7 linked regions of the Ovis aries genome follow. The protein of the gene in region 2 interacts with the protein of the main gene of each other region in a pairwise test. Links are inferred from orthologs where the notes say so. Each region holds a gene or a part of one and is shown on either strand. Other genes may lie near its edges.

Evidence for each region.
Region 1: the proteins of PPP1CA (region 2) and SH3RF2 interact in binary tests that used the Homo sapiens proteins (3 or more experiments, as listed by UniProt). The link is inferred for Ovis aries from reciprocal best matches to the Homo sapiens genes PPP1CA and SH3RF2.
Region 3: the proteins of PPP1CA (region 2) and CSRNP2 interact in binary tests that used the Homo sapiens proteins (3 or more experiments, as listed by UniProt). The link is inferred for Ovis aries from reciprocal best matches to the Homo sapiens genes PPP1CA and CSRNP2.
Region 4: the proteins of PPP1CA (region 2) and SNCAIP interact in a two-hybrid assay, tested with the Homo sapiens proteins (2 studies listed by BioGRID and IntAct). The link is inferred for Ovis aries from reciprocal best matches to the Homo sapiens genes PPP1CA and SNCAIP.
Region 5: the proteins of PPP1CA (region 2) and AATK interact in binary tests that used the Homo sapiens proteins (3 or more experiments, as listed by UniProt). The link is inferred for Ovis aries from reciprocal best matches to the Homo sapiens genes PPP1CA and AATK.
Region 6: the proteins of PPP1CA (region 2) and PPP1R3B interact in binary tests that used the Homo sapiens proteins (3 or more experiments, as listed by UniProt). The link is inferred for Ovis aries from reciprocal best matches to the Homo sapiens genes PPP1CA and PPP1R3B.
Region 7: the proteins of PPP1CA (region 2) and PPP1R15B interact in binary tests that used the Homo sapiens proteins (3 or more experiments, as listed by UniProt). The link is inferred for Ovis aries from reciprocal best matches to the Homo sapiens genes PPP1CA and PPP1R15B.

What each region holds. Positions count from the first base shown.
Region 1 is NC_056058.1:55,018,529-55,022,028, reverse strand, and holds part of SH3RF2 (E3 ubiquitin-protein ligase SH3RF2), read right to left. Parts: intron 2,350-3,500; coding exon 1,991-2,349; intron 1-1,990. UniProt on the Homo sapiens protein: Has E3 ubiquitin-protein ligase activity. Acts as an anti-apoptotic regulator of the JNK pathway by ubiquitinating and promoting the degradation of SH3RF1, a scaffold protein that is required for pro-apoptotic JNK activation.
Region 2 is NC_056074.1:41,699,855-41,704,076, reverse strand, and holds the start of PPP1CA (serine/threonine-protein phosphatase PP1-alpha catalytic subunit), read left to right. Parts: upstream 1-1,422; 5' UTR 1,423-1,472; coding exon 1,473-1,527; intron 1,528-2,057; coding exon 2,058-2,189; intron 2,190-2,334; coding exon 2,335-2,565; intron 2,566-3,197; coding exon 3,198-3,302; intron 3,303-3,889; coding exon 3,890-4,113; intron 4,114-4,194; coding exon 4,195-4,222. Other genes in the region: TBC1D10C (carabin), read right to left, coding at 1-251. UniProt on the Homo sapiens protein: Protein phosphatase that associates with over 200 regulatory proteins to form highly specific holoenzymes which dephosphorylate hundreds of biological targets.
Region 3 is NC_056056.1:135,118,123-135,121,342, reverse strand, and holds the end of CSRNP2 (cysteine/serine-rich nuclear protein 2), read right to left. Parts: coding exon 3,052-3,220; 3' UTR 668-3,051; coding exon of another isoform or gene 612-667; 3' UTR 501-611; downstream 1-500. UniProt on the Homo sapiens protein: Binds to the consensus sequence 5'-AGAGTG-3' and has transcriptional activator activity. May play a role in apoptosis.
Region 4 is NC_056058.1:29,092,568-29,096,067, forward strand, and holds part of SNCAIP (synphilin-1), read right to left. Parts: intron 3,272-3,500; coding exon 3,179-3,271; intron 2,601-3,178; coding exon 1,532-2,600; intron 1,465-1,531; coding exon of another isoform or gene 1,442-1,464; exon of another isoform or gene 259-1,441; coding exon 188-258; exon of another isoform or gene 1-187. UniProt on the Homo sapiens protein: Isoform 2 inhibits the ubiquitin ligase activity of SIAH1 and inhibits proteasomal degradation of target proteins. Isoform 2 inhibits autoubiquitination and proteasomal degradation of SIAH1, and thereby increases cellular levels of SIAH.
Region 5 is NC_056064.1:51,028,322-51,032,264, reverse strand, and holds the start of AATK (serine/threonine-protein kinase LMTK1), read right to left. Parts: upstream 2,801-3,943; 5' UTR 2,567-2,800; coding exon 2,512-2,566; intron 1-2,511. UniProt on the Homo sapiens protein: May be involved in neuronal differentiation.
Region 6 is NC_056079.1:24,332,487-24,336,695, forward strand, and holds the start of PPP1R3B (protein phosphatase 1 regulatory subunit 3B), read right to left. Parts: upstream 2,801-4,209; 5' UTR 2,713-2,800; coding exon 2,576-2,712; intron 1-2,575. UniProt on the Homo sapiens protein: Acts as a glycogen-targeting subunit for phosphatase PP1. Facilitates interaction of the PP1 with enzymes of the glycogen metabolism and regulates its activity.
Region 7 is NC_056065.1:1,999,320-2,002,024, reverse strand, and holds part of PPP1R15B (protein phosphatase 1 regulatory subunit 15B), read left to right. Parts: intron 1-906; coding exon of another isoform or gene 907-927; exon of another isoform or gene 928-1,118; intron 1,119-2,118; coding exon 2,119-2,340; 3' UTR 2,341-2,705. UniProt on the Homo sapiens protein: Maintains low levels of EIF2S1 phosphorylation in unstressed cells by promoting its dephosphorylation by PP1.

The sequences.
Region 1 (3,500 bases), on a different chromosome or scaffold from region 2:
CAGGAGAACAAAGGGACATGGCTGAGGTGTGAGAACTGTGCTGTTTTCCCCTGGGACTTGGCTCACGTTGTTCCTTTACCCTGTCCCTTCTGGGAATGCCTCATTCATGTGTTCCTCCAGCAGATACTTGTGTCTGCATGAGAGTCCACCAGGGATCACCACTCTGTCAAGTGCTATGTACAAATCCAAGAGTGAACAGAACTTCCCTGACAGATGACAGTGAGAACCAGTGCTTCCGTGGGGAAGAATAAGATGCTAAGGGAGTGGGTAGGAGTATCCAATTGAAGCTGGAATGGGACTTGTCAGGGAGGGCCTCCTAAAGGCAGAGGTATTTCAATCAAGAACTGAAGAATGGGGATTATCTAAGAGAAATAGAAGGGGCAATCACCGACCTAAGAACAGGGTTCTAGGCAAGAGGGCATGATCCTTTCGAGAAAATATAAGAAGTTCACCTCCCCTCTCTCTTCTCCACCTGCCGGTAAGGCCTGTCTTGAGGCCCACCTCTTCCCTGAGGCCTACCTGCTGACTGCATCAAGTTCTGTGATTAACTTATAAATCCTCAAAGCAGAGCCAGCAAACTAGACACCGCTGACTACACTTTGTCTACAGAAGGTTTAAGAGTTTTAGCTGCTAACATGAAAAATTGGGAGACTGCATATATGAAAGTCAGGATTTCATCTGTCTCTCATGATATAGCTCAGGTGCACCGGGGCCAGGGCCCCATTCTGCCAACAGTTGGCTGGTGCTGATCAGCAGCTCCCTGTCTGTGTGGGAGTCACCATCTCACATTTGCATAAGCCTTTCCTCTCTCCCTTCTTTCCTAGCCTGTTACAGGATCTGTCTGGTACAATCAGTGTTTACCTTGGCCATTGCCTGTCTTTTGTTTGTTTCTTTAGTCGCTAAGTCGTGTCTGACTCTTTTGCGACCCCATGGACTGTAGCCTGCCAGGCTCCTCTGTCCATGGGATTCTCCAGGCAAGAATACTGGAGTGGGCTGCCATTCCCTTCTCCAGGGGATCTTCCTGAACCAGGGACTGAACCTATATCACCTGCATTGTAGGCAGATTATTGCTGAGCCACCAGGGAAGCCCCAAAACGAAACAGTAACAGTCACCTAATTTTCTTGTTACCTCCTCCATCCCACCATCCTTCTTTCCTCAAGGATATTACTGAGAACATAAAAAATTTACAAAAATTCTTATGTCTTCTTATGGAAAAGCCACAGAACCACAAAGGTCCTGATAATGGTCAATTGAGTAGTTATAGCTCTGTGTGACCTTGACAAGTCACTTACACTCTGCTGTGTCTCAGTTACCTCCTCCATACTGTGAACAGGTACACATTATTCCCTGTGTAAGCACTTTACTCATCTCATTTAATTTCCACTCCAGTCCTGTGAGGCTATGACTCTTCTTACTGCCATTTTACAGATTAAGCAAAAAAATCTCAGAAAGGTGAAATGTTTTAACCAGAGTCACCAGCTAGCAAGCAGCAGCGCTGGAATTCAAAACAACATTGTATCTGAGGCCAAAGCCATGCTTTTTCAAGTCACCCCTGGGCCTTGAAAGTAGGATGTATGAGATATTCTGGAAGCATCAGGGAGATTCAGTAACATGTCCAGGGAGGATGGAGGTGGTATAAGGATGTGGAGGGGGGTTGTGTGTGAGGATTCCTTTGATTCCTCGTCCATTCAAAGCTGAAATCTCAGGAGCTGAGACACTGTGCAAAGTTAGGCGTCTAAAGAATCAGGCCCCCCTCACGTCACCTCATGGTCATGCATACATGTTCAGTGTGTCTAAATCTTTGTGACCCCCATGGACCGTAGCCTGCCAAGCTCCTCTGTTCATAGAACATTCCAGGCAAGAATACTGGAGTGGGTTGCCATTTCCTCCTCCAGGGGATCTTCCCAACCCAGGGACTGAACACACGTCTCTTGTGTCTCCTGCACTGGCGGGAGGATTCTTTACCGCTGCCATGTCACCTACTCCTACCTTCTCGCTGCTGTTTCTTGAGTTTTCTGGTTTCACCAGGATGGAGGGCGGGGCAGATGCAGGCGGTTTGGGGAGAGGCTCACTCTTGACGGGAATTTCTTTGCCTTCCATGATGAGGGAGCTGGCTGCCGTGTGGATCCTGGTGTCGCTGCCCCTGCTGACGCACGTGAGGGCAGGCTCCCCAGTGGGAGTGGGCTTGGATCCCAGCTCCGCCGCCACCGTGGAGGCTGAGGAGGGGGCCCCCTGTGGCTGGTAGAACTGGAACTGTTGAGGCTGGACCACCATGGTGGGGCTGTGTCTGAAGGAGCCCACCACGAGGGTGGGGATCCCCGACTGGACGGGTCTCTGCAGAGATCCATCTGAGAATTATAAGACAGAGATATCAGCCCTGGGGCGGCTGACAGCAGCTGGGGGTGGAGGGGGGCCACTGAGTAGGCAGTACGTCCTGATATCCCAGAATAGTTAAGTGCTTTCCCAATTTGACTGTGCTCACATTCTCCCAGGGTCTTTCAAAGGTGACCTTATTCTTTTTTTAGTGCTGCTTGCCAGTGCTGGCAGCCAATGACTGGCTAGGTGAGTGTTGGTGGGGGGTGGTGTCAGAAGGTGTATTACCTCCATTCGTCCTCTGTCTGTCTCTCTGTCTCTCTCTGTCTCTCTCTCTCTCTTTCACACACACACACATACACACACACACACACAAACTTCTATGATCTCCTTCCAGGCCTTTAAGATGATATGAAGAAGACAGTCCTAAAGAGAGGGCTTCACAGTGAGAAGAGAACAGAAATGTCATGCAGACCAAAGAGGACACAAAAGCAGAGACAAAGCAAGAGACAGCAGACATTGAGACTCACAAGAATGAGTCAGCTGAGAGGCATGAGCAGGAGGGAGAGTGAGGAGAGAGGGGAGGGGACTCTGACCAACTTCTTGAAGAAAATTCTGATGGAAGCATTATGCCTGTGGTATGGGGACCTCTGCTCTTCATCGGGTCTGTGGGGAGGAAGGCTGAGTGGGATTTAGAGACCATGTCTACTGGGCAAATGTGACAGTAGTTGGAAGCAAATCTGGAAAGGCTATTTCCGAGTTAGGGTTGGGAGCAGATGAGCTTCGGCAAGTCCCATGACACAAGCTCTGGAATCTGATCTCTTCTCAAGGAGCCAGGGGCCGGTCAGTCACATCACCTTCCTGCTCCTCGGCCCCTCTGGTTGTAAACTGGAGCTAACAACAGTACCTCATGGGCTGAGGTGAGATTATATTTTATGATGCATGCAAAGTGTTAGGATAGTGCCCGGAACATAATAAATGCCCCCATGTTTGAAAACTTTATTTTTTTCTCTTCTAGGTAAAGGAGAAGCAAACTGTAAAAATGCATGCATGGTCTAGGAGTTTGATTTTGCCCCTTTCACTTCCCTGAGCTCATTCCCCTCTCCTTTTTTTTTTTTGCTTTTAACTGAGATGAGCCTCCTCTGTAAAAGGAAGCCATTACTTCCCCTCAAATTCTCTAGAACAC
Region 2 (4,222 bases):
GGGCCGGGCCCGCTCAGCTCTGAGTCGGACCCCAAGGAGCTGGAGTCATCCTGCAGCTCACTGGGCTGCGCCAGGTCCTCGCCCAGGGCCTGGGCCATGGCGCCACCGACCCCCCGTGCGGCAGGCTGCAAGATGTGGGCACAGCCAGTGTGAGCAGGGGCTCCCGGCCAGCCGGGGCCGGGGCGCCTCTGCAGCCAGGCCTCAGCCCCAGGACCTGCCCGCCTGGTCAAAGAGGACAGGTTGCAGGGCATCGCACCATACCCCTCTGGTACCCTCTCCTCTTGTGGGGTGGGGGTGGGGCACAGGCCCAGAGGGGCAGAAAGGCCAGGCCCCCTACCGGAGACCCAGGCCCAGCCCCTGTCCCAAGGGGCCCAGCTTACCTCCCTGCTGCACCTCACCTCCTCCTCTCACTTCCTCCTCAGCCACAGCTTCAGCAACCCGCTGAGGGCCCCTCCCAAGTGCGTGGTGGGGGGGGTTACCCCTTCCTCTCCAGGGCTCTTCCGGCCTGCCCCAGTAGCCCTGGGCCATGGGCTCCTCCCACCACCCCGGTGGGCTAGGTGGGTGCAGGCCTGGGTTCTTGTGCTGGGTGTGATGCAGCCAGGGCCTGCCAGAGGTAGAGAGGCCACGCTGCCTCCAGATGTGAGGTCACAGGCAAATAAAACACTCAATTCAGGGTTCCAGTGAGTATTACACTTTATTTAACGTGACTTCTTTTGTTAACGCTTTCGACAAGTCAAACAGTAAGTCATTACTGCGCTACTCAAAACACAACGACGAGACATTAAAAAATAGTAGTAATGGTGTAGCATGCGCCACGGGCAGGGGGACCAAAATGAGCTCGGCGTTCAGCGACAGGTGTCTGGGTATGGTCAGCCGCCCGCAGGCCACAGGGACCCTAGAGGTGAGAGCTCCTCCGTCAGTCTGAAGCCAACCCTTGCTATCTTTGAACCTGTTTCCTTTCCTGCACTTCGTGGATTTAATCTGCACTCTCTGGGGAGACCCAATGAGATATCAATGAGGTCACACCACCTTCTAGCCCGGGACAGAAATGGGAAGGACTATTGGGCCCTTGAAAGAGAAAAACAACTCCACACTACTTCCGGCCGCACATCCTCGGTGCAAGGGTGGGTAACTCCTCAAGGGCGGAACTAGAGTCGACCTCGCCCCGTGAAGCCCCGCCCCCAGTGTAGGCTCCGCCCCCGCAACCAGGTCAGCCCGAGCCCCGCCTCCCGAGCCGCCGCGGGCCCCGGGCCTGGCGTCCAGTGGAGGCGCTAGAGCGCAGGGGCGGCGGGCGACCGGGCGGGCCGGGGCGGGGCCGGGTGCGGCGGGGCGGGGCTGCCGGCAGAGGAGGCGGGGCGGCGGGCCGGGGCGGGCCCGGGCGGGCGGAAGGAGCACCAGGCCGGAAGGAGGCCGCGGGAGGGCGGGAGGCAGGATAGGGCCCGGAGGTGCTGGGCCAGAGCGGCGGCGCCGCCATGTCCGACAGCGAGAAGCTCAACCTGGACTCTATAATCGGACGCCTGCTGGAAGGTTGGCCGGGGAGGCGAGGGAGGTGGGCGCCCGCCGCGCCCTGGTCCCCTGCCCGGCCCGGAAGTGGCGCGCGGGTGGACCTGCCCCTCCCAGGGCCAGCTTTGACTGGGCGGGGACGGGCCGCGAGGTCCCGTGGCCACATCGTGCCCCCACCCCACCCCAGTCGTGGCGCGCTGGGAGGTCTGGGGTTGCTCCCCTTGCCAGAGCAGAACCGGGGTTGGCGGTGGCGGGGGTGGGCGCGCAAGGATTGGCCTGGGCTCTTGGCTGAGGGAGAAACCTGAGAAGCCTAGTCCCCCAGGAAGGGGTCCTGTGCTGAGGTTTTGGATGGCCTCTGCGCACAGCAGTCCCCTCGCGAGCGCCTTGAGGGCAGTTGGGGGTCCCAGGAGGCTCAGCAGCAACAGCTGCCCCTGGGCAAGGCGGGGCCGGGAGGCCCAGGAGCCCCTACCCAGAAGTGCCTTTGGGGCCACCAGTGACATTCACCCTCTTCTTGCCTGAGGAACCAGGGTCCTGACGCCTCTTTCCGCCCCCAGTGCAGGGCTCCAGGCCTGGAAAGAATGTACAGCTGACGGAGAACGAGATCCGTGGTCTGTGCCTCAAATCCCGGGAGATTTTCCTGAGCCAGCCCATTCTTCTGGAGCTGGAGGCACCCCTCAAGATCTGCGGTGAGCCCCCAGCCCAGGTCCCCGTGGCCTCCTGAAAGCGGCCTTGCCCCCCACCCCTCCCAAGTTTCTCCTCCCTTGGGCCCAACCCTGACCCTGGGTTCACGTTTAGGCTGCCCTAGTGCTGACCTGGTTCCCTGGGTCACAGGTGACATTCACGGCCAGTACTATGACCTTCTGCGGCTGTTTGAGTACGGCGGCTTCCCTCCAGAAAGTAACTACCTGTTCCTGGGGGACTACGTGGACAGGGGCAAGCAGTCTTTGGAGACCATCTGCCTGCTGCTGGCCTATAAGATCAAGTACCCGGAGAACTTCTTCCTGCTCCGTGGGAACCACGAGTGTGCCAGTATCAACCGCATCTACGGCTTCTATGATGAGTGTGAGTGGGCAGAGCATCTGGGCTGCCCTGGTCCTAAAGGGCTCTCCTTGCCATTCAGTGCGACCCTCGTGTTGACCTGGTGGCTGGGGTGTCAGCGTCTGACAAACACCTGCTAAGCTGAGTGCCGTGAAGGTAGCACCAGCCCATGCCACCCTCCCCGACCCTCCTAGAGCAGATCCTGGCACTCAGGAGGGACCTAGCCAGTGGCTGCTGGCTGAAGGGCTGCCAGGATTCTAAGGCAGGGCCTCACCTGCTGACACTCCCCTCCAGCGCATCCGATACTTAAGCACTTAGGATGCCTGTTGGGACTGGACTCTGTTAGACAGAAGCCAAGATGAACCAGACCCTGTCTCGACCTGGCCCTGCTCTTGTGCTGGGGGTGGATGCCAACCTTGAGGTCGTGCCAGAAGTGGAACTCTGGGGTTCCCGTGGACTTGGCTGCTTTAGAATTCTGTCTGGGAGGCAGTGGGGTAGTAGGGGTAGGGGGCGGGGGTTCGGTTTCCTTTTTTGCCTTCCATTCTCTCCTCCTAGCTGTGTCTGAACAACACACAATGTGTCCTGGAAGGCCTGGAGACCTGGGCTGAGGGTGGAGCAGAGGCCCTCTGGTGAGCTGTCTCCTTCCCCCTGGGCAGGCAAGAGACGCTACAACATCAAACTGTGGAAGACCTTCACTGATTGCTTCAACTGCCTGCCCATCGCTGCCATCGTGGACGAGAAGATCTTCTGTTGCCATGGAGGTGAGCACAGCTCTGGGCATGTGAATTCTTGAGCAGGATGAGCCTCCCAGGGTGAGCACCCCTGGGGACCTTGGGACAGAAGCGTCGGCTGGAAGATGTGTTCCCAGTCGCCAGGAACAGCTCTCCCTGGAGTCCTGGTATGGGTAGTACTTCTTCCATGACGTGCCCCCGCACTGCAGCATTAGGCTGCACCCACTGTTGTGTCATGGCCTCGCCTTCTTGCATGGAGTTTGCTTGTCCCCTTTCTCCAGGGCTTCCCTAGTGGCTCAGATGGTAAAGAATCTGCCTGCAATGCGGGAGACCCAGGTTTGATCCCTGGGTTGGGACGATCCCCTGAAGAAAGGAATGGCTACTCGCTCCAGCTTTCTTGCCTGGACAGTCCATGGGGTTGCAAAGAGTCGGACACGACTGAGCGAAAACACTTTCTCCAGGGAGCTCTGTGCTCCTTGAAGGGACAGGGACTTGGAAGAGGCAGAAGGTGATGAGTTCTGCCTTTGTAGGCTCCCAGGAATCCTGGAGAGGTGGGGGGCAGAGGCTGATTGGCAAAGGCTGCCTGGAGGAGGTGACCTGCCCCCTGTGCCCTCCAGGCCTGTCCCCAGACCTACAGTCCATGGAGCAGATCCGGCGCATCATGCGGCCCACAGATGTGCCTGACCAGGGCCTGCTCTGTGACCTGCTGTGGTCTGACCCTGACAAGGACGTGCAGGGCTGGGGCGAGAATGACCGCGGCGTCTCCTTTACCTTTGGAGCTGAGGTGGTGGCCAAGTTCCTGCACAAGCATGACCTGGACCTCATCTGCCGGGCACACCAGGTGGGCTGGCAGCCCCCATCTGGGTTAGAGCAGGGCTGGCAGCCAGCTCCTGCTGAACTAACCGCCTCCACCCTCGTCCAGGTAGTAGAAGACGGCTACGAGTTCTTTG
Region 3 (3,220 bases), on a different chromosome or scaffold from region 2:
GAAATGACTTACACGTCCCCCAGTTACTAATGTTCCTTTTACAGGACTGATTGTCATAACCTAACGGAGAGATAATTGGTTGGAATAGAACCTTCTGATGGGATGGAAATAACAAAAAAACTGATGTGAAGTTGATGCTCTTGCTGGATTTTAAGACAGTAGACAGGAATATATACACACACACACACACACATATATACACACACACATATAAAGCCATGGAATTGAAAAGTGGGCCCCAAGAGTAGGGACTGAGTCAGAAAAGCTCCAACAGGGCAGATCAAGACTTGCTCCAGCTGAAGAGGCGCCTAAGGGCACATGATGCAAGTGAAGCTCTTGATGCTCCATAGAATGTTCTATTTTTCCATTGTAAAACATCCCTATTGTTAACATTAATCCTTAACTGACCTAATTGGTTTTATATATAGTACTAGAGAAGCATTTTTCTCTAACAAGTAACTGAATTGTGGTCTGCCAAGATAAAGAAGAAAACACCATTCTTTTGAATATTTCTTTAATATTACATTTAAATATTTTCTTTAAATACAGCATTATCACAATGTAAAGGACCTAAAAGCAAAAAAAAAAAAATTAAATTTTTTTTTTTTCAGAGAACCAGACAAGCTTTGGATTCACATTGAAAATACTACCTGTGTACAGTATGTGAGAAAAGAAATTGGAAAATATTGAGTTGTAATGAGTGATTTATCTGGATTTCTTTTATCCCACCTAGTCTAAGCAGCACTGAAGCTCTGCTTTTGTGGTCAGCAGCCTAGCCTTTCTAGCAACCATGCACTGTAATTCTGTCTGTCCAGCTCAGGTAGCACCAGAAACGAGATGGACTAGGTTGCATAAAAGGCCCTTTGCTTAACAAGATTGTTAATGTTAATATTTAGCATTTAAAAGGTTGGGACAGGTGAGTCAGAACTGTAGTTAATGAAGGGAGGGATTTATTATCTTGGGGGCTGGCAATGAGTTTAATTAGTTTGAGCTTCTTGGTCTGATCCCAAATGTCTTATTAAACAGGTGAATCCACTTCCTAGCTTAGGCTGGCGCCCTCCGAAGGAGGGAAGATACAGCACTCACCCTCCCCTTCTGACACAAACTTCTAGAAAGATTCATCTCCAGAGTCAAATTCCCAACTAAAGTTCAACCTTCTGTCTGAGGGGACCAGTCTAAGGTGGCAGAGTGTAGCTCAGTTGAGGATAGCACCTATTTCACAGGTGCTTAGGACTCTGACTCCGTTTTGTGAGCCTAGAGGAGAGATAAGGGCCTATGGCTTATTAATTCACCTCCAAATGTAAAACCAGCAAAAACAAGAATGAATAGGAGAGGCAAAATAAGTTAAAAGGATGTATCCATGTTGAATATAAGGCCTTTCAGGCTCAGTTTAGGTTTGATAGGTGAAATGCTACTGTGATATACATACATAAAGGTTGCTTTCAGACACTGGGGCCTTAAGATCCCACAAGAAAAGGCTTTATAAGCAAAATAGTAGGAACAGTTACCTCCTCCACCAAAAAAAAAAAAAAAGGTTTATACTTTGTCTTTTCCTGGTCAAAAAACCATACCAGTAATGAAGCTTAGTGTGAAGGATGCTAGAGTGTTTTGCTCCCTAATGCTTCCCTTTTCAAACAGAAGCAAAGAGCCATAAAAAAAAAAAGAAAAGAAAACAGAGGCAGTGATAACTTTGCTAGTGAAAAGAATTCAGTGTTCAGTGGAGCACATCTTGGAACATAAACTGGACATGAGAGAACAGGAACCATGTCCCCCCTAATAAAGGTACGAACAGAATCTGAGTTCCACTCAATAGACCTCAAAAGTTACAGTTAGAACTTGACTTCTTAGAACCTGGGAGCTGCAGGAAGCATTTAGGAACTGGTGTGGCTTACAATCTTTATATATAAAGATGGAGGGAGCCAGTAAGCATTTGCAGTTCTTGGGAACAGAATGTGAATGTAAGAACTCTAACCCTGTATATCCAAGAGGGACCAGGAGGGTAGACCCAAAAAAGGAAAAAACACAAAAGGTAACACAAAAACACTAGCTGGTGAACTTGCCACATCCTACACTCCTTTAAAGCTTAATTTTTTGGGGGGAGGGGTAGGGAACAGGGCGGGGTTAAGGTGAAAACGCAAGCACAGCACAAAGAAAGTCATCTTTCCAGACAGCAGCCTGTTCCTGCTGCCTCCTCTGGACACAGGTTAATGCTCTATATAGGCCTCCCATGGGATGTGTGAGCCCCAGATTAAAGCTGCCTGATGGAGCTGCGGTTAGACATGTAGGGAAGACTGGCTCTTGATGCCACATCCCCAGCCAATCTAGCTCTTTCCCTTCAAAGGAAAAAGGACAAAGCGGGGGCAGGGGGAAAGACAAGTTTAACTCTAGTACCTAAAAACGTGTGAAAGAAACACTTCCAAGTTAAGACCAGGAATCCCCAGTGTGGGGAACAGGTCAGAGAACAAAAATGTCAAATATTAACTTATTTACCAAATAAGGGGGGGTCAGGGAAGGCAGGTTCAATTCTTATAGATCTTAGAGGTTTTATACAGAAGCAGAGACACTTTCACCCCCTCCTTTCTAGCCTCAACCAGCTGACGATTTCAACTGTATTACTACAATACACCAAAGTGGGGTATCAGAGTAACTGCTGAGGAAGGTGAGCTTAACCCTGCCTGGAGCTCAGAAGAGAGGAAGGGGCTTTGTCATGCTGTTTAAATTGTCGTGTTCTGGTCCCTACGTGAATAGCTGCTTGAATTACCCAGCTCCTCCTGTGAGATCCTAGTTCTTTGTTCCGAAGGCCCAGAAAGCTCAGGATGCAGCCTCCTCTGCCCCAAGACTGTCCCCTGATCGAGCTGGGGCTGGTCTCCTTGGTTCTGTTGGCCCTTTAAAAAATACTTGTACAAACAATCCTTTCCCACCCTTTCCCCAGTGACCCCAATAAAATAACATAGGAGCAGCAGCTGCTTCTACAGTTTTGTTTTTGAAATGGTGTTAGATAAAATAAGGGAATAAATAGAGAACGGGTGGGAGGCAGTCTCCGCCCATGCGTCACACTGCCAGAGGGAGCTCCAGGGCAGGCTCCTCCGGGGGCCTGTCCGCACTCTGCGGCGGGGTCTTCTCCACTGCACAGCCCTCTTCCCTGTCCGTGCACATGGGGAGGCTTGAGGGGGACCAGGAGGGGCGACAGTCTTCACTCCCAGGCTCCTTGGGGTTACAA
Region 4 (3,500 bases), on a different chromosome or scaffold from region 2:
TGGGTACCTGCTCCCTTTCTAAGGACCAGTTACAAATCTGTCAGCTTCTATTTGGGGGAGGAGTCAGAATTTTCTACTACCTAGGTGTCAGCGCCTGCAAAAAGTGTGCTAGAACCACCATTTAAAAGGTCATGCAATTTAAAGCGAAGGCCTGGCACTGCTGTGGAGACACCCTAGCACCACGTACCGTGCATAGTTACGCAGATGCTCTTCAATCAGCGTGTTAGAGGAAAGATTGATGCAGCTGCCGTACATCTCCTAGAGAGGTGCAATTAAAAATCATCTGAACACATGCAACAAGCTCAGCACATGCACAAGTCTCAATAAACAGGAGGCATGCAGGAGACAGGTTAAAGGATAGACGCTTTGGACACACTTTACGGTGCATGGGGAACTGCTGAGATCTTTGACTCCTCAGTGAGAGGACCCATTAAGTTACCTGGAGAAGTTTTACTCCAGCAATGTAAGTTTGGACATATTTAATCCAAAAGGCCTGGTGTTCAGGGGCACAAACGTGACTTTTCTAAGCTGAAGCAAATACATGCTAAAGTCTTATAACAAAGACAACTCGGTGGAAATCAATGTGCAATTAAAATTTGTGTGTTGTTAATTGGAGTGATATTAACTAAAATTTGATTTTGGTACTGCAAAAAGAATCTAGAAAGTTCTTAGACCGCACCAGAATGGGGTTGTACCTTATGACAAATAATAAATTATGCAGGTGTTACTCTCTAGTTACTGTGAAGGATATTCTGGGTCCTTCTGTTTCACAGAGGGTTTCACACGTTGGCGGCTATACCATGTTTTCAAGGGCATAACAGGCACAAAGCATGCAGGAAACATTACCTAAAAAGATGTTCGTATCTCTTCCTCACAGGATTTAAATCCAGATTATAACACGTGGTTTTACAATAAATGCAATTATACAGTGCAGTTCATGGCACACACTCTGCCATCCCCTGTGGGTGGGCAAGCACTGTAGACCACCAGGGCTTCCTTAGGGGCTTGTGTCTTAAGATGTCAACGTGGAGGTTCCTGCGGCATATTTATTCCAAAGGTCTTTCTGAAGCTGAGTAGTTAATTCTTTAGAAATAGAATTTCTATTTGTATACTGTTTAATTGGGCTCGAGAATAAACTGTCCAGTCACATGAGGAGAACTAACTCTTCCTGGGGCAGAATCAGGGATAAAGAGGGGCCTGATTTCACACTGATTTTGTAATCTAGTCCTATAGACATGCCTCCCCATCTACAACTCCTAATTCTCAATGATCAAACTACTTGGGGAAATCGAGGGACCAGGATATAACCTCCTGTGATCTGTTTAATCATCCTCTCTCAATTTCCAAAGGAAGAGTAAAAGGTACTCAACACAACTTATCTCATTAGAAACCCTGGAGTCTGTTTTTCCATGCATCCTTTAGAATTCTTCCAGGGATTCCCTCAAGGTGGCCAAGGGCTGTAATCTGTGGTGTTAGGAATAACATAATTAATTTAAAAGAATAAAAGGGACATTCTCCAAACAGCACTCACCGCCTTATTTTTTCCTTTGTTAGCAGAGCTCCCGGTGTTTCCCTTACCGTCTGTCACCTTCCTCCCAAGGGAGGTTAAGGGGAGGGTGGAGGTCTTCAGCTGGTTGGATGTCTGATAGTTATTATTATTGTTCTGGTTGCCACTGAGTGTCTCCATAATGGATCGGAAGGTTCCAAAGGGCCTTTTGAGCTGATCCCCTGATTCGCTACCAGCAGACGTCCGCTGGAGGGTCCTGCCCTTCTCTCGCTCCTTTTCTCCGTTTAGTTCAAGGCTAGTTTGCTCCATCTGCACCACCGGCTCCTCAAAGGTCACTCTGAGTTTTGAGTTCTGAGATGTCCGGCGCTTGGACGACGGGGACTTGAGGGCACTCTTGGGACTCGTGGCCACTTTCTGGGCGGCTGCACTGTCAGGGCTGGGCTGAGGGGCTTCTCCAGAGGGTTGGCTTGAGGGGGTGTTTCCTGAGCCCGGACACTGGGATTCCAAGTCCGGCTCGCTGCTCTCTGAGGTGGGGGATGGGCTGTGGCCTTCCAGGGATTTGGAGGCCTTGATACTGAAAGGAAACCTGCGTCCTGATGCCAAGGTATGTTTCTTGATCATCAAGTGGAGGCTCTCTGCACTGTCCACGCCCTCCACACTCTCCACGATGGGCTGCGGTCTGGGCCTGTCAACCTTCCTCACAGGGGTGCCCTTGGGGTCCTCAGAGTTGTTGGAGTCCGTGTCAGCCTCGCTCAGTGGCCGCTGCATCAGCTGCTTCAGCCGCGCCAACTTCAGTTCCCTCTTCTCCAGGGGGATCTTTTTGGAATGTCTCGAGGAACTCTGAGCATCCTGGAATTCCAACGACAGCTTTTCCTGGGTGCAGACATTCTCTGAAATATCTTTTCCTAATAACTGACGTAGGATTTTATCAGAATCTTCATCTTTCACTTTGGCCCTAGCCCGGCTGGATGCTGACAGGCTTCCAAGAACCTGAATCCCCTCCTGGACTCCTGGTTTGCTTTTGGCTACAGACTCATCCTCTGCATCTGGGGACTTCCACTGGGACTTTCTGCAAGCTGGGGAGGATGGTGAACTGAAAGAGGATGGAGGATATATGAGATGATCTCCTATTGGGTTAAAATAACTCAGCCATGAACCACGGCGTGGCTTTACTGCTGCGAATAACTTCCACATCACTAAGACTGAAATAAGAATAATGTCTGCTTCAATCAAACTACAAACATTCCATGGTGGCAACCATAACCAGAATGGGATGCCTCATACCTTATGCTGTGACTGCCAAATGTGTCTACTATTTTGTTTTTTCACACATCAATTTTGCACAAATTTTCCCAATCCCATCGTCAACAACCTTATGAGCCTACATATCCTTATTCCCATTTCATAGTTGAAGGAAAAATGACTCTAAAAGAGTAAGTGACTTGTTTACAGTCGTGGAAAGAAGAAATGGCAGAGCCAGAGATAAACTCATGTCTTCTGACCCTAGATCCAGTGCCTTCTTCCCTATGATAGCTCATTTTTATTCCTCTTTATAAAAATAAAATGTCTTCTGTTGCTATCTTCTAAAAAGATAATAAAGGAAAGTCCAAGAAAACGGCTCAGAGATGAAAGATACTTAACAATCCTAACCACCACCACTTCTGGTATTACCTGGGTGAAGAAAGAAGTGACTTGCCCTCTGATTTCTGGGCTTCAAGAAGTTGTTGGAGCTGGTTCTGTAGTGTGACACGTTGCATTGTCTGTCTGGGAAAAACAAATCCAAACAAATAAGTTCTCTGACACATGGCTACTACCATAAATTAACAGATATATATTTTCTCATGATAATTTGCAATAAGTTGCAATAAATCTAAAAGCCTGGCAAATGTGCATAATCTTCACCCTTATAATTCAGAAATTTTCCTAAGGATACAATCAAAAGTACTCAACAAGATATTTATTATTTACATGGCAGGCAGCTTCTTTACCACTA
Region 5 (3,943 bases), on a different chromosome or scaffold from region 2:
GGCGCCCTTCCAGATGCCCACCTGTGCCAGCCTGTGGTTCCAGAAGAACATGCTTGGGCCTGGCCCCCTCCAGTGGCCTGCCCTGCCCTGCCCATCTCTGATAGGTGACGGTGGCCCAGGCAGGAGCTGAGTTTAAATAAGGTCCCCCAGCACCCATACTGCACTCAAGCACGTGCCGAGAGCCGGAGCCTCAAACTCAGCCCCCTTCACTCTCCATAACTGCCACCATTGTCACCACCTCTATGGAGAACTACCATAGCATCCATGATGGGCACAGGACTGTCAGTAGGCAACAAACCTGGCCTGGTGACACTCTGAGGACCCTTCGCCCAGGCCAGGTCCCTCTGTCCACCCCAGAGTGTTGAGCGACCACAGAAACAAACTCTGAGATAGCCACAAACATGACTGTCCCCTGCCCTCTGTGGTGGATCCCAAGCAGGGTCCCCATTTAGACAGGAGTCAACCTCAAAACCCATCTATCCCCATTTTGGGGACAGAGGAAAGCCACATGCCACTGTGGCCTTGTCTCCATACACCACCCCCTCCAAAAGAGCAGCCAGTGTTCATGGAGGGTCAGGTTTTCATTGGGTGCTTAACCCCTAACTGAGCCTGGTGTAGGCGCTGCTATCCCCTTTTACAGATGAGAAAACTGAGACTCGAGAAGGCAAGGGTGGGCAGGGGGACTCCAAGGGGTGGGAGCCGGGCTCTGAATGCTAGGCATTTAGCGGGAGGGCAGAGGACCCCACCTCGCCTCCTTCCCAATGCCCACATGAGGGCCAGCATGGAGCCCTGGAGTTCCACACCCCACAGGCAACACACCTCTACCATCCAGGGGCCCCTCGCACAGTGGGGCAGGGCTCTCTCCATTCCGCCTGAAAAGAGCAGACCTCCTCTTGCCTCCTGACAACTTTTTCCCCTGCTAAGTCCTTAAACTGACACATTATAATTACACTGATCACAGCTGTTAACAGAAACATTTGCAAGAGGAATCAGCTTAGTTGTTTCTCTAAGATGGGGGAAGGGTCTCGTGCTGGGACACACCCAAGTGTGTGTTTGGTGGGGGAGTGTACTGAACCCAACCACACAGGGCAGGTCTGGGCCCTACAAAGAGTGCAAGAGGCAGGGCATGGGGAAGGGTGTCCCCCATCCCTGGGTCAGTCCTGCCACACACACACTCACCCTACCTATGGTTCCAAGGCTGGACCTTCGCAGCCCAGGAGCCACGCTGCCTGGAACACTGGCCCGGAGCCACCTGGATACCTGTCCCAAAAGGCTGTCTGGGCCTGGGACTGACTGCTCAGCAGGGCCACCTCCACCCCCACCTCCAACCCCCGCCCTCAGAGTCCAGCAGGGCTGTCACTGCCAGGTTGGGGGCCATCCACTGGGACTCCATGTTCTTCAAGCTCTGGGAGTCGCCTTGGGAAGTTATTTCTGAGCCAGGGACACCCACATCCTCAGTCCAGTAGAGAAACCTGCCGTCTGCTCCCCTCCCTCAGGAGCAAATGCCTTCAGATGGGGCCGGACCCAGGGGACCCTGTGCATCACTGCACGAACTGGGCCCTACTCCAGGGAGGGAGACCCAGGAGAGCCCATCACGTGCTCACCCGGCTTTGTTTTGGCTGGATTAGCCTGTGCCAGAGCCCCAGTGACAAGTGGGTGGGACTCTGGGTCCTTAGGCCACGGCTCCAGGGCAGGGGCTTATCTCCCACTAGGGCCAAGGAGGGGCGGATGGCGGGGCCTATGAAAGCAGAGGGAAGAAAGTCTACCACCTTCTGGCAACGCAGGCAGGCCTCCAGCTGCCCCCGGCCCCACTGCCCACCATGGCGGCCCACTGCTGCCAGGAGGTCAGGCAGCCATGGGTAAACAGGCTGCCAGGGCTGCCAGCCTGGGGGAAGGGGGGGGAAGAGGCCTGGCCCCATGTCTCCTGCAGCCAGCTTTGACAGCGCCACCTCGGCCTCATCCCTGTCCTGAGGGCCTGGGCATCCACTGAGGCCCATCTCTTCTGAGCCTGTGCTCTGTCCCACCTCCCCATGCAGGCGGCTGGGTGGCCCGGCAGGGCTCTCCAGAACGCATTCCCAGCCTAGGGAGGAGCCTGCCACCCTAGTCCCAGCAAGGGTGTCCATGGGCCTGAGGGAGCAACACTCCCACCCCTCCCTGGAGCCCTTAGTCCTGGCTGCCTCCTCCCCTGGACACCTGGCCCAGCACGGGCCCTCCTGCCCCAGATACGCGAGATCGAAGCTTCCACAGGGACAGGCAGTGCCCCCACTGCCCACCCCGGCTGCTGGAGGCCTCAAGCAGGTGCCAACCCCTAGGCCTGCCCACCTCCGGGCCTCCAGGGGTTCCTGCGGGAAAGCAGTTACGTCTGCAGCTCCGCTCAGAGAGAGGAAAGGGTTAATTTCCATGCGAAATAGAAAACCAGCGGCTCAGGAAGCATCAATGTCCGCAGTTAGGCAGGTTAGGGGCAGCCGCAGCGGGCAGAGGGCTGGCAAGGGGCGCGGCCAGGGGACTCACCAGGGTCGAAGTGCGAGCTGAAGGCGAAGCTGGGGTTGAAGAAGGACGACGACATGGCCAGGGCCAGCAGCGCGGCTTGGCATCCCCCGACTGGCGCTGCGTTCAGCTCAGGACGCCCGAGGCCCGCACCGCGCCATCACCCGAGCGGCCGCCGCAGGTGCGAGCGCGCCTTGGCCGCGGCGCCCGCTCAGCACCCACAGCCGCAGCCGCGGGGCCGGCGGGGTGCGGGTGCGGGTGCGGGCGGCGGCGACAGACGAGGCGCCTCCCCCGGCCGGTGCAGTCCGAAAACACCGGCGGGAGCGCGCGCGCGGGGTCGGGTGGCGGGGGGGGGGGGGGTTCCCTACCGGGCTGGGGGGCACGGAGACTCGCGCAGGGGGGATCCGAAGGCTGAGGGGGCATGGAAATGCGGGGGGGACAAAGGCACGGGGGGACACAGATGCAGAATGGGAAATCCGGAGACGCAGGGGTGGCACGGAGGATGGGGGGGCACGGAGGCTGGGGGGCGCTGGGAGGCGGAAGGTGCACAGAAACGCGGGGAGGGGTATACTGAAGCCCGAGGGTGGCTCAGTGACGCGGGATGGGAGACCCAAGGGCTCGGGGGCACGGATAATGGGGGAGGGGCCCGTGGAGGGAAAGGTGCGGGGGGGGGGCGGGACGGAGACTCGGGAGGGGGCCACCTGGTGGCGCGGGGGTGGGCAAAGAGGCGTGGGGAGGAGGAGCGGGAAGGCGGGGGCACGGCTGCGCGCACGGGAGTGGGCACGGTGGCACGCAGGAGCAATACGAAAGCGCGCGCGGGGTGGCCGGGAGGCGCGGGCCCCGGCACGCGAGGGTCGGGGGCTGGCACGCGGCCTGCACACGCCGGTTTCCGAGGCAGCTCCGGTCCTGCCCCGCGCCCTCTGGGCGGCGCCCGCGCCGGCGGGGTGGGGGGTGGGGGTGCTATTTTTGCACAAACCGCCCGCGCCTGTGCCACTCTGCGACAACCGTGGAGAAGGAGCGGCCGCCCCCGCCCGGGAGGGAACAGCGCCGGGCGTTTAGGGCGGGCGCGGCGGCGCCGGGCACCGAGGCACCGTCCCCTCCCCGCCGGCCGCGCGCCCTGCCGCGCCATCTTGCGCGGCTGCGGCGGCTGCAGCGGCTGCAGCGGCTGCGGGAGGCCCGGCCGGCTGAGAGCCCAGGGGGCTGGGGCTCGGCCCCTCCCCACCCGCTGGGAGCGGAGAGAGTTACAGCGGAGCTGGGATTTGAGTTTTATGTAACTTGAGTCACTCACTCTACACCCATCCATTCATTCTCTGGCCAGATGAGCAAAGCCTCTTGGTTGACCCAGCGGGAGGACAGGGGGTGTGGGGGCCCGGAAGCCTTTGGGGAGAGCAAGGATCAATGGCACAGGGGTGGGCACGGAGAGAAAGGATGGTGAGGGCCAGCCCTCAGGAGAGGG
Region 6 (4,209 bases), on a different chromosome or scaffold from region 2:
CTAAGTCCCTGAAAGGCAGGCACCTGGGCAGGTGTTTTAATCCTTAAATGGCATGAAAATGATCAGTTCCAACACAGGATGCACTGGGCTGTACTCACGCCCTCTCTTCTGACAGACTCTTTGGGAGCTCTGCCCTTTCCCTCGCCCAAGTCAGGTAATATGAGTCACCAAGGTTGGTCGGGGGAAAAAAACCAGAAGGAGATGTGGACACTCAACTGAACCAGCAGAGATGACATTGGACCTGGATACCAGTTCTTTGCAGGACAAGGTCATGAGACTGTGAGTAGCTGTTACTCAGACCAGCAGGGATTCTCAAAACTTTTGCTTCCAAATAGATGCTTAGGAGATCCGTCTTGCCCCATGAGAGACTGGACGTGTCTAAGGGTACATTTCAGTGTTTCTGGTCAAAAAGAGGACAAACCCTAACACTCCATGCAAATTAGAGAGAACATGGAGAGTTTTGCATAAAAGCTTTCCCTGTTCCACTAGTGACAAACAACACACCCTCTCAAGATAGCTTGCGAGGGTTACACGTCATGGTGATTTTTCTCTAAAGTCTATCAACTTGTACAGAAAATAACCCTATAACCTTCACAGTTTCAAGCAGCTGAACTACTGACTCTCTGGCTGTGCCTTTTATAGAAGGCAAATCTTTTTCTTTTGTATTGAGGCCAACACATTGCCTCCCCCATTCTCTTGCACCCTGATAAGAAAAGACAGAAATATCAGACACACCAATAACTCACCAGGAACACTGAAGCTACATTGTGAAGGTAAGCATTCACAACCAAGTTACCAGGTATAATTTTTGTTTTAAAGACATGGTCACCTACCCCTTTTGGCATTTCTCTATTTGCTCCCAAAAGGTTTGGCTGCCATAGTGTGAACAAAGTTGGCATCTTTCCCATGGTTCTCTGACCATGGGGCCGTTATTCACAGCCCTAGATGCCACTTGGACTCCTTTATTCTGTCACCACCATCCAAAGCATCTCTGAGATAAATATCTGTGGATGAAGTTACATATTATAGGAAAGAGATAAGTTAAAATGGCCCAGTGTCTGCATCTAAAAGTGTCCAATATGAAATATAGCGCACTGGCCTAGGACCGCCTACATGACGCTGTGGCACTCAGGGCAAATTACTCAACCTCTCTGGGCTTGAGCTTCTCCCCTGAGATCCCTTTGAGCTCTGACATTCTGGGTTGCCAATACTGCCTGATGGTTCTTCTTTCCCCTAACTTTTCCCTAAATACCTCAACTTTACTTTTGGGGTAAATCCTCCAGCTGTCTTCACTTCAGTCTTGGCTCCTGGACAACCCTGCCAAATGAACCATTTCCTCTTCTCCTCTGCACCCCAGCCTGAAGGCCTTCCTCTGGCTTCTCCTGGGCCGTGGGTCTCCCAGGGAGGCCTGGCCACACAGACCACAGGCCCCAACATCTTCTAGCAACTCTCCAGGTTCTCAATTTCCTCCTCTTCTGCAGCAAACAATACCAGGAGAAAGCCCAAACCTTCTAGTATGTTCTGGGCTCTCTGCTCCCTCTTTTGCACTGAGTCGCTTCCACACCTCTTTCTCTGGACTCAAAAGGGTGGCTGGAACAGGACACGGGGGCAGGCCAGGGCGTCCTGGCTTCGAAGATCCCACAGGTCACTGTCTCCTGGGTCCAGCCAGGCCCGGGCTGCATCCCGCCCCCAACACCTCCCCGAGATCCTTCGCCTGGGCGGGGGGGGGGGGGGCCCCCCCTGTGGGGCCGCGGGGAAGCCCCCTTTCCAGCTGGCTCGCCGCATCGGAGAACCCGGAGGGAGGTGGCAGGGGAAGCTGCCGCCACCAGACTACGTGAGCCTCGGTGTGTGTCCGGGAGGCAGGGCTTGGGCTGGGTTCCCGGAGTTGTGACCGGCAGGGGGAGGAAGACGACGAGGAGGAGGAGCCCTAGTTATCATACCAGGGCGGGGCGGCGGGGCCACCCCGGACGGAGAGGCGCCACGAGAGCGTCCCCGCGCGGCCACCTCGACCCCGCCGGCCCAGGACGGCCCGTCTGGGGGCCGGGGACCCGAGGTGGCTCGGCTCAGAGTGGCCCCAGCCGCCGGTGCGGATCCGTGTTCCGTAGCCCTCGGCGACCTGAGAGATCACCCAGTGTGTTTCCCTACGTTGTAACGGGCAATCGAGGCGGGGTGAGAGACGCCGCGACTTTCCCTTGTGCTCAAGATCCCAGGGCTCAGCTCTAGGAGTGTCGGTTCCCAGGCGGAAAAGCCTAGTGTCAGGTTCGAACTCGGCACAGTAGGGACCAAAAGTGGTCTGGACTCCCAGCCCCAGCCTCCCATCATGACCAGGACCCCCAACCGGTGCATCACGTGGGTGCGGCCAGGCTCCATCCAACCTCTGGTCCCTGCATTGCCCTCTCCACGAGGAAGCAACAGTTTCCTCAAGCCCTTCTACAGTGTCCCATGCCCAGAGTGTAACTGCAAGCTGGCCTGAGAAAGTGTGTGCGGCAGGAACCAGAGAGGGTCCCTGATGCGTGCCCTCGTCGCCGTTTCTGCGGTAGGGCACCGGGCCTTGCGGGCTTGCTGGGGGACGTACCTGGTACAGCTCATAAGCCCCGAAGTGCAGAGGCGCCAGCCTGCGGCAGCATCCCAGCCAAGGTGGCAGGGGCAGCGGCGGCGACAGCAGGAGCGGGGCCCGGGGCTCAGGTGGGCGCCCTCCGCGGGCAGCCGCATCCGTCCGTGCGCTAGACCAGCCCGCCCGCCTCCTCCCTGCTGCCCCTCACCTGGGACTCTAACTCCCAGCCGCCGCGCGGCTCTCTTTAACTTTCAGGCCACCTCTCCTAACTCGGGACCCCTTCCCAGACCCCCCTTTCCCGTGAACGCCCCCCGCAGCCAATGGGCGCGCCCGAGACGAAAGCCGTCCACCAATAACCGCGGAGCCGCGGTCCCCCCGCCCCCCCATCACCGCCGCGCCACGTGATAGGCTGCGCGCCCGGAGCGATAGGGCCGGGTTCCAAGGGCTGGGAAGGGGGCGATGGGTCACAATTTCATCCGAAGCCGGGGGAACGGGCGCCAGGGGGCAGAGGCACTTGCCTGCTGCACGGCATCCCGTTACAGCCAGAGGGCTGGACGCCGGCGCCTGGTACAGTTCCCACTCCCTAGGCAAAGTCCTAGCCGGGAAAAGTCACCCTACGCGCGCGGACGGGATTGCAGAGCCATTCACCCGTCCCGTCGGCCCCGCCTTTGCCTTACTCTTCAGCCACGGGGTTCACAGGTGACCGCTAGTTCCTCCATCACAAGTGGAGCCCAGGGGAGCCCCGAGAGAATGCCCAACGCGTTTCCCTCCGTTTTAAGTGGAGCCTTTTCAGGATCAGTATCCCCAGCTTCTAGGATACTGTTGAAAATAAGTAATTACTGAACACTTGCTTTGTGCCCATCACTGTCCGGGTGTCCTTGTGAATGGAATACAGTAAAATCCTTTTAATAAAGTTGTTATTGAGGCAAAGGACCAATACCCATCTCAGAATATTGCATATATAGTTGAGGGTTTCTCAGGTAGGTATTGGAGAAAGCAATGGCACCCCACTCCAGTACTCTTGCCTGGAAAACCCCATGGATGGAGGAGCCTGGTAGGCTGCTGACCATGGGGTCGCTAAGAGTCGGAAACAACTGAGCGACTTCACTTTCACTTTTCACTTTCATGCATTGGAGAAGGAAATGGCAACCCACTCCAGTATTCGTGCCTGGAGAATCCCAGGGACAGGGGAGCCTGGTGGGAAGCGGTCTATGGAGTCGCATAGAGTCGGACACGACTGAAGCGACTTAGCAGCAGCAGCAGCAGCAGCAGCAGATAGGTATATTTCCGAGGAAACTACCTAACTTGAATCTGTATGAACGGATTCAACCTATATCTACAGGGCCTGCTTAATTTCTGTGCTTCAGCTTGAGATCTGTAGAGAATGATGAGTTTAGAATAGAGTTTAGAAGCCCCTCCACCCATATGAGATCAATTTAAATATGCATGTATGTAGTCATAGATATCATCTCCTTGGTGACCAGCTGAGCTAACCACTTTAGGGATGAGGATCCCCGTTTTCCAGTTTTACTGTATTTTGGAAATTAGTATAGGATTACCAGCTTTTTAAAGTGCCAAGTAAAGACATAAACAAGTCTTACCATCTTCTGTTACCACCTTTTACTTTTAAAAGAAATACTCTATTCTGGCCTGGA
Region 7 (2,705 bases), on a different chromosome or scaffold from region 2:
TATTCCCAGGCTAGTCTTAAAACTTCATGGAGCATTTATTTTACTGTTTCAACACATTCCAAAGGTAACCTTATTTGGGGAATCTTTTGAATTGCCTTTTTAAAAAAAATTCAGCTGAGGTTATTAATTGAAGAGAAATCCCCACAAACAGGTATCTTTTATTGTGGAGCAAAAGTTTCTTTAATTACCTTTACTTTTATTTGGAAAGAAAGTCATGGGTGAATTATTATTGACCTCAAATTCTGCTGCATCAGAGTTTCAAGTGGAAAGAACTGTAATCCATTGGCTCCAATTGACCAGCTTAATCTTTGAAACTCTCCCTAGGGTAGAAAATGTCCCTAAATGGTGGTATTCTTATGTCCTAGCTGTAGACGCAAAATAAGGCATATTAAAAATTAGATTTTAGGTCACACTGTTGTTAATGCTGTGTTAAACGTTTTTCGCTATGTTTTTAAAGGTCCCTGACAAAATGGCCTGTTCAGTGACTAGAGAAACAAAGTGAGGCAGTGGAATGAGCACTTGGCATCTAGAGACTTGTGTTCCCTACTCTTAAGTGGTGAGGGCCAACAGATTTAGGAAGATAGCCAGAGCTGGGAAGTAACTTGACCTCTCATGGCTTTGACTGACTAACTTATAGTAATAATAATAATGGCTATTGTATGAATTATTGCACGGTTTAAACGAGGTGAGTAGATAAAACTCATAGTTGCTTTGCCTTAAATGATAACTCTTGTTTAGGGATCTCAGCCCAGCCTCATGTCTCTTTTTAGCTTGCTCACTGAGTGAAAAGTGAGATGAGTCAAGTAGATGTTACTATTACTATGCACTAGAAGCAACATTTATAAAAGATTATGTCTGGAATATGGTAAAGTTATTTATAACCTTTGACTACATCTCATTTTTTAGGTATATGGGAATAATGGATAGTTCCCAGTTCTTAGAATGAGGCTTTCAGATCTGGGAATGCTTTATTAAATGGCAAACATGGTGCAGATTGTGGAGCCGGGCTGAGTTGGAGTCCTGATTGCACCCCTGGAAGCTGAGTGATTTGAATGAGTCAGTTTACCTTGGTTTCCTTATCTATACAATGAAGATGATGATAATACATACCTTATAGGGTATGTATTTTTAAGTGAGATGAAAATTGTTAAGTACTTTGAAAAGAACCCGGCATATGGTAACCACTGTATAAATGTTATTTATCTTGGTGATAAAATGAATGAGTAATGCTAGAATGCAATATTTAGTAAGGTGTTACATATCTACTAATTGTCCTCGGGGGTATTCCTTGGCCTGATGTAAAGGGAATGAAAGTAGCCAGCCACAGTGGAATTAGCTGATGTAAGTAATGAATGTACTTTAAAACAAGTTTTGACATTTGGTGTTTGATATCTTAAAAAGATACTTCTATATTAGAAATTGAGTAGGGATTAAAAGGAACTGTCACTTACCTGTGATCATATATGTTGCAGTAGTCACAATTGCATGTATATATGGTGATAGGATAATGAAGAATACACAGAGGGTTTTTATCTTAACTACAAAGTCTCTTATAGTAACATAACCTTTTGCTAAGTCACTTCAGTCGTGTCCGACTCTGCGCGACCCCATAGACGGCAGCCCACCAGGCTCCGCCATCCCTGGGATTCTCCAGGCAAGAACACTGGAGTGGGGTGCCATTTCCTTCTCCAGTGCATGAAAGTGAAAAGTGAAAGTGAAGTCGCTCAGTTGTGTCCGACCCGTCACAGCCCACCAGGCTCCTCCGCCCATGGGATTTTCCAGGCGAGCACTGGAGTGGGGTGCCACTGCCTTCTCCAACATAACCTTAAAGATACATTTTGTTGCAGTTTGAATACTAAGTAACTTTTTCTTCTGTGTTCTGATTATAAAATAATTAATATAATACTACTACTACATGTTTATGATTCAAGAATTGAAAAACACTGAAAAGTTACTTTTTTTAAAAAAGAAATAGAAGTGAACTTTTGTGCTGTAATAAAAGCATTCAGGAATATATTTCTGAAATACTTAGGAAACATTTGTCATTTTGGAAGAGTGTACAAGTTTGTTTCTTTACTTCTGTTATATTTGAGATTAAAATTACTCTTATGTTTATAGGTAACCTTCCTTGAAGAAGTTACTGAGTATTATATAAGCGGTGATGAGGATCGAAAAGGACCATGGGAAGAATTTGCGCGGGATGGATGCAGGTTCCAGAAACGAATTCAAGAAACAGAAGAAGCTATTGGATACTGCTTGACATTTGAGCACAGAGAAAAGATGTTTAATAGACTCCAGCAAACATGTTTCAAAGGGCTTAATGTTTTCGAGCAATATTAAGATGATTTGACAGCCTCTGGCCCTAGCATACACTACCTCTTACTTGAGAGGTTACTTTTAAAAACAAAAGTTGGCAGCTGTCCTTCAACTTTTTCTTAGAGGATGTGCAGCTTGGATCCAGTGACCTAGTTTAATATTTTTTTGCAACATAGCCCACTCAGATACGTCCAGGTTTGAAGCCAGGCCCTGAAAATGAAGGATGAGATGGTGTGATTTCTAATCCTCCCTTTTTTGTTTAGTTGGATCTGTTCTAGGATGTTGTTTGCTTGCTGAAGTGAAAAGGGGACCTTTTAAGGTGTAATTTTGCACTTTAGAAACTTATTTTCTTGGGAAACAATATTTATAGGCTTAAGAGCCCATTTCCC